Sus scrofa: one gene and its partner. The protein of the gene in region 2 interacts with the protein of the main gene of each other region in a pairwise test. Links are inferred from orthologs where the notes say so. Each region holds a gene or a part of one and is shown on either strand. Other genes may lie near its edges.

What was found.
Region 1: the proteins of CRK (region 2) and PPFIBP2 interact in binary tests that used the Homo sapiens proteins (3 or more experiments, as listed by UniProt). The link is inferred for Sus scrofa from reciprocal best matches to the Homo sapiens genes CRK and PPFIBP2.

Annotation. Positions count from the first base shown.
Region 1 is NC_010451.4:2,104,641-2,109,088, forward strand, and holds the start of PPFIBP2 (liprin-beta-2), read right to left. Parts: upstream 3,101-4,448; 5' UTR 3,067-3,100; coding exon 3,003-3,066; intron 1-3,002. UniProt on the Homo sapiens protein: May regulate the disassembly of focal adhesions. Did not bind receptor-like tyrosine phosphatases type 2A.
Region 2 is NC_010454.4:47,658,457-47,661,321, forward strand, and holds part of CRK (adapter molecule crk), read right to left. Parts: intron 2,033-2,865; coding exon 1,895-2,032; 3' UTR 1-1,894. UniProt on the Homo sapiens protein: Involved in cell branching and adhesion mediated by BCAR1-CRK-RAPGEF1 signaling and activation of RAP1.

The DNA of each region.
Region 1 (4,448 bases), on a different chromosome or scaffold from region 2:
GGATGCAGGTTCGATCCCTGGCCTCGCTCAGTGGGTGAAAGATCCGGCGTTGCCATGAGCTGTGGTGTAGGTTGCAGACGTGGCTCAGATCCTGTGTTGCTGTGGCTCTGGTGTAGGCTGGAGGCTTCAGCTCCGATTGGACCCCTAGCCTGGAAACCTCCATATGCTGAGGGTGAGGCCCTAAAAAGACAAAAGACAGACAGACAAGCAAACCCTCTTCTGTGCTGCAGGCCAAAAGAGGCACAGGAGATGGGGTGGCAAAGCCTCTGTCTCACAAGTGTATGATCTGGTGCGGGAGGCAGATGGTAAAAACAAAGACACATATATGAACGCAGGGTCAGGGGCTGACAAGCGCTACAGAGAAATAAAAACAGGACACACGGACGCGGGGGAAGCGAGGACGCTGCCGCCGAGAGGGGAGGCCTCTCACGACTCAGCGACACAGATCAGACCTGAGTGTGCCTGCAGGAGGACATTCCAGCAGAGGGGACAGCAAGGCCCTGAGACAGCCAGCAGGACAATGTAGGCGGGGCAGCCACAGGCCAAGTCCCATCCAGCCGCCGGTTATGACGGGGCTCTAGATTCTTACCCCGAGACGGGAAGCCAGGGAAGGGTTGTGGGGAGCGAGGGATGTGATTTGATTTACATTTAAAGGATTGCTCTGCTGCTCTGTGGAAGACAGGGGGCAAGAGCAGAGCAGAGACCACTCAGAAGGCTATGCATTCATCTTTTGACCCCAGGCGAGTCCAGGAGGCATCGCGGGCCTTAGACAGTGAAAACCAGACAGGTGAAGGGAGAGGCTAAATAAAGGACCGCTCTACTGTGTCCCTAGAGAAGACTCACATGTAAAGATGCTTTTGTCCTTCGTGAATTTATCCTGAGCTCACATGCGATGGCGCTTCCTACAGGCCAGGCTCTGTTTTAAGCATCAGAGAGCCACCTTCTTAGGTGGGTACTATTTCATCCCGCTCTAAATCTGAGGAAATGGAGGCGTGGGTGATGCAGGCAATTCGGTGCAGAGTTGGGATTTAAACCCAGCGCTCTGGCTACAGGTGTTCCTCCCCCGGCCCACAGAGCAGGCCTTGGAATGTCTTGGCCACTTCTCTGCGAAACGCTCCTGCCTGTTCCGGAGAAGCCCGGGAGCCCTTCCTGAGCAGCCTGCAGGGTGGAGGCCTGAGGAAACGGGAGAAGGAGGGAGCGGGTCCTGGAAGGGAAGGAGCATGGGGGTCCCGGGCCCACCCAACCGACAGCAGGGCCCGCCCTCCGCACCCGGGGCTGACCCCAGACCCACACGAGGTCCCGACACAACGTCCTCGCCCCCCAACAGAGGGGACTTTACCAGAGGCTTTGTCACTTCAGGAATGCTTGTGCAGGGAGACTAGGAGGCAGGGAGACTAGGGGGAAGGACCCCACCCAGGGCTGTCTTCTTCAGCAGGGGTCACATCACCCATCACAGCCACCCAAGAGCTCTGCATGCCGGGGGTGGGGGGTGCTCTGAGAGGCTCCTCCGAGCTCCTTGGCTCGGGGCTCAGGAGTGCTGACAACCTGAGGAGCAGGTCTGAGAGTCTGACCTGCCCACGAGAGTCTCAGTGCAAACGAGGTCCCGGAAGCTTCCAGATGAGACTCTAAAAGAATGGCTACAGGAGTTCCCTGGTGGCTCAGCAGGTTAAGGATCCAGCATTGTCGCTGCTGTGGCGCAGGTTCGATCCCTAGCCTGGGTGCTTCCATGTGCCTCGGGTATACAATAAATAAATAAATTAAAAAAAAACAAAAGGACTGCTAGGAACCCCACGCTCTTGACCGTGTCCTCCCGGTGGGGCTTCAGGGACCCTCCCCTAGAGCAGGACATCCCAACCGCTGGAGCCTCTGGAAAGTGGGACGTTAGTCGTGACCTCTCGAGGGTGCTGTGTTCCCTAAGAAATTAAGAGCCTGACAGACGTCATCAGAACACATGGCAGGGCCACCAAAACCTGAAGGTGCTACTACACGGACACCTCCTGTGCCCCAGGCGCAAACACCCAGAGCCCTCAGTGCGCCCGCCGGGTGTATCTCGGCAGGACGGAGGAGAGGCAAGGGACCGGGTCCAGTGGCCCGTGTGTGCCCTGGGCTGCAGCCACACTCAGCCCAAACCTCCCTCCCGCAGCAAAGTCCCAAAGAAACACGCCCCGTCGGCAAGTAAGGCCACTGGCCTGTATCAGGTAAGGACAGAAAGAAGGCCTGGGCCTGACGGGAAAGACTTCCAACGACAGCCTTGGTCTAACCAGTATGGGCTTCAGTTGCCCCATCCAGGAGTTCCTCCGCCCAAACAGCCCGCTGGCGGGCCTTTCCAATCAGCAATTGGCTGGATCTTCTCCAGCGAATGTTCCTAAGTGGCCATGGCAAACATGAAGCCAGACAGTTGTGACGGATAAAAAACAATACGGCATAAAGAACAGTCTTCAGGTGATTAGGTGAATCAGTACAGAACTGCCTCCTGCCTTCCAAACATACTGAAGACCAGCTGGGGACGGGGGCGGACACCGGCGTTGGGTGGCCAAGTCTGGGAGTTTCAGCTTGAGCATCATAAGGTATGATGTGCTCTGAGCACGTCTACAATAAAAATCTCACGGCACTGAAACTGCCTCACAGCCAGGATCCAAACTGCGACACGGTTAGACCTGTGCACAAATATACATGCATTTATATAACACGGGAGCATGTGCAGGCTCAACAGACACCTAGGCTCACACCGGACGTCAAAGAGGCCAAGTCTGAGCTATTAGAAGAGAGATGGCAGCGGTTCCCTGGTGGCCTAGCAGGGTAAGGATCCAGCATTGTCACTGCTGTGGCTTGGGTGACGTGGGTTCAGTCCCTGGCCTAGGGACTTCCACATGCTGCAGGTGTGGCCAAAAAGAGAGAGAGAGAGAGATGGCACACAGAGTAAAAGAAATCCAACAGGGGGCTCCTCTCTGCACCCGAAAGAGAAGTCCAGCGAGAGGACGCGGTCTCTCGGTCTGACCTACCGGCGAGGATGCCGTCCATCTGCTCCAGGGCGGCTTCCAGCACGTGACTCGCATCAGACGCCATGAGGCCGTCTCGCTGCTCGGTCTCCTGTCTCCTACTGGAAACGCAAACACACAACAAAGGGACAGTTACAGAGAGTTCCCCATCGCTACCCAAGTCCGCAAACCCTCATTCCGCCAGCACACGGCGCGCTCCCACTGGCATCCCGAAGCCCGCGTGGGGTTTCTGCGGGTCTACAGCCACTCCCTCCTGGCACGAGTGAGCCCCTTCACTTCGGTCATGAAAAGCCACTAGGGCTCTCCAGTCACCTGCAGCAGCAAGAGAGCGACGGCTACCCTCCTATCCCAGGCTCCAGAAGCTCCGGCCGCCCCTGGCGAAGGCTGAGGCTCCCCTAGGATGGGGGATGCACACGGCCAGCAGGAGCTCCATCCAGGCGTGCCCTGCAGCTGGGCCACAGCAGGCAGTAGCTGTCTTCTGCCCTTGAGCCACACCTGCAATGCTCCTGGGGCAGCCGTGGTCAGGCTGAGCCAGCTTGACTGCCACTTTCATTGCCAAGGGGGCTGATGGCCCGTCCAGGAGGGCGTGGGGGCACTGTCGTGGGGAGAGGACCCCCCCAGGAGCCAGGAGCACTGTCCAGAGCCATTTCAGTTCCACTCCACCCAGTGCCATTCAAGATACAGAGTCCCATCTTCTCGGGGCTGCAGAATTTCTCCAGGAAGACACCGCCTAGCCCCACCCTGATGCCAAGCCGCCCCCAGGGAGAGGCAGTGCCTGGTTCCCTCTCAGAAGGGTCTTTTAAGCTCAACCGTCTTCTTGCAGCCTGTTTCCTGACTTCCTGCCTGCTCCCCCCAGCAGAGACTTCCAACAGCATCTGTGATAAGAGACGTAGCTCAGGTCTGTGGCTGGAGGCAGGTGCCGCTGTTTGCTGGTTCAGCAAAGCCCCTGTGAATGCCCAGTGGGCCTACGTGCTGCGGAGGACAGAGGCGGGGCTCCCAGACCCCAGGGTGACAGGTCGGGGCACAGGAGGTTCTGCTGCTCATTTTCCCCATGAACTTTCACCTTCAGAGCGGAGAGAGGAGCGTGAGCGCCCACAGGAAAGTGGCCTTGGAGACGCATGGCTAAGGGTGTCGGGGCCACGGAGAACCGACCACACTGGACGGTGCCAGGCAGGAGTGGGTAAATGCCCTGGGGTCCAAGCCATCTCTGGCATTTACTGTGTCATCCTGAGCCCCAGTCCCCCCTGTAAAGTGGGGACAGTAACAGCACCTCACTCACAGGTCCTGTCATGATTCAGTAGGTGACTAGGAAAATGCATGTCGTGAAGTTCCTGTTGTGGCGGCAGAAACTACTGACGAGTATCCATGAGGCTGTGGTGTGGGTTCGATCCCTGGCCCCACTCCGTGGGTGAAGGGCCTGGCGTTGCCGTGGCTGTGGTGTAGGCTGGC
Region 2 (2,865 bases):
AAATACAAACATTCAACTCAGTTGTGACAAAGCTTTTCTACAAATATTTTAGATGTCATACTTTCAGGAAAACAAGATTTAACGTGTATTTGGATTTTACAGTATCTATGCTCTAACTGAAAATTTAACAGAGTAGTCAGATGGAATGAAGTCTAGTATTGCAAATCTGTTCATTCAATATTATTGAGCACCCACTATGTGCACAGCACTGTGCTAACATTTTAAAAGTCGAGCACTAATGTCTTTATCAAGCATTACCTTAGTGTGAGGTAAAAATATATTAAATTAGCATAACTCATTAGTTCGCTTGTGGTAATGTATGTAAATCCTGTGCCAGCTGGCTTCCCTGTGCCATATAATGAGCTTCTGCACACCCCTCATTCACTCACACAAACATCTGTACGCTGACTGTGCCAGGCACTGTGCTAGTCGCTGGGATACCATGATTTGGCCTATGTTCAAAGAAGGCAAATTAATCTTAACCTATGCAAAACAATTGGAAAGATACATTACTTTTCCAAAATGAGGCCAAAAGCAAAAACATGTTTCTATTGGTCATATCACACTATAGATAGTAACTGCCTCCGGACTGCGAACTAACTTTGAAAGATTCAAACTGTAATCTAAATAGCCTAGATCATTTTTGGTCTCAGAAGTCTATTCTTTGGAGCGCCTAACCCCATATAAACGAATCATTCCACACTTAAAAGGTTTTGTAAACTAAACTTGAACACAAAGAAAAAGAGCCCAAAATGAAGGCAGTTTATAATGTAATGTACTTTAAGCACTATTCTGGCCATATGAAATGAATAATACGTAAGTAATTTGTGATTGGTTCAAACATTTTTCAAAGCACTAACCCTATCCCCAAACTCACGTAATTTTAATTTGACTTTTATACAAGTTGTACATAAAGCAAAAGGGCAGAATTTGGCCCCCCAACCTTCTATGGAATATTCTTAAGTGATTGGTCCTTCCACTCCAAGTAGAAGCTAAGAATTCCAAAGAGACCCCTAAGAGGATACTGGCACTCGGGAGAAACGGCCCTGCTGGATCCCACTAGCCGCGAGTCTATTTAGCTGTGGTAGCAATGTGAACCTACTTTGACCCCTTGAGGGAAGGCGGAGAGCTGGGAGTCTGGCTGTCCATGCAGTGAATCCAATACTGGCTTAAAGCTATGCACTGAATAAAGTGCTCTGCACATCCTGCTTATCATCTGGAATGAAAATAAACACTTATCTTGAGAAATAACCTATCTGTAGGTTTTGGGGAAAAGAATGACCAGGCTTGAAAGAATCCCAAGAAAAAGTATGAAGCATTGACTGGGAAGGAAGACAAATGCCTCTAGTAGTGTCCTCAGAATTCTCAGGATTTGAACTGTCAGAATGAGTCATACAATGGTCATGTTCTATAAATGAAAAAGCAATCCCACTGGGTACTATTCACACGGTGCATGATTACTTCACGGGGGTGGAAGGGAACAGTCTATTGCCATTTGATAGCATGGTTTCAGAATGAAAATAAAACCACTGACTAAATCAGGGTAAGCAGTATGCAACACTCCTCTCCTGTCCAGCAGTTTTCCACAGGTTGATTTGTTTCGCCTGAGAGAAAGGAGGCGAGCTACCTAGCCCTTCAGATATACTCAGGCAACGCTGCTACCACCTAAAATTGTCAATTCAGAAGTTAACACACAAGCCCTCCAGTTTCGTACCCTGAATATGGTAAATGAGACTAGGAATGGAGCAGTTCAATCTGAAAAAGATCACAGGTAACAGAATGCTTATAGAAACTAGACTGCTTTGACATCTGTAAGAAAACTGTATAGATGGCAATTGGAAAAAAAAAAAAAGATTGTTCCCATCTGTCAGCAAAACTGTTTGTTGAGCTATACTCAGCTGAAGTCCTCATCGGGATTCTGTTGATCCAGCAGACAGACATGTGTGAATGGGAAGTGACCTCGTTTGCCATTACACTCCCCTTCCCACTGACCACTCATATTAATCTTCGTAACCTTTACCAGCTCACCGACCTGCAGGAGGAGAATAAGGACAGCACTTTATTTCCAGTCATGAAAGCAAGCTGAAAAACGCCATTCTCAGTTTAGCCACACCCTGCCCATGTGATTGCTCTAGGGCTGATATTACAGAAATGACTATTCCCTGCCTCCCAAGCCCCAGCCACCAGACCAATTACTTGTGGTTAATGCAGGCAGGAGGAAGAAGTGATTTCAGCAATGCAGGAAAACAGAGTACAGAAAATAGAAGGGATCCTAGAAAATAATACCTTTGGAAATCTCAAGTGTCTCTAGAGGAGCAACCCTACCTAGAGCGATCCAGTGTTCCTTGTCTCTGAACCCACTACCCTTAGCTTCTTGCCTTAGCCTCCCCGGCCCTCCCCTCGCTTGCATATAACAGCACAATCCCCAGCCCACTCTTGTACACATATCCTGGTCTGCTGCTGCTGTTGGGAGAGCAGAAGGCGATCATGGGAAGCATACTTCATTTGGTCCCAGAAAATGAAGTGTTCCCATCACCTTCATTCCAAAGCAAGGCTTCTCCCAGTTGTGCAGGTATAGGCCAATCCTCCAAACTCCATCAGTACCCTGAGAGATCCCACCTCCTTCAGCAAGTTCTACTTGGCAGGCCACTGCCTGCTAGTGACCTCACCTGCACCATGGAAGCAACCATGTTGCTCCCTCACTGACACTTGGTACCTGTTCATTAACAATAAGGGGACATCATTTTGCTGTTACAAAAAGATTCCTGCTGCAACATCAAATATTTGTGACAACTGAAGATACACATCTATCTTACCACGAAATTGAAGACAAGATCAGTCTGATGAATGGATTCGCTATGGAGC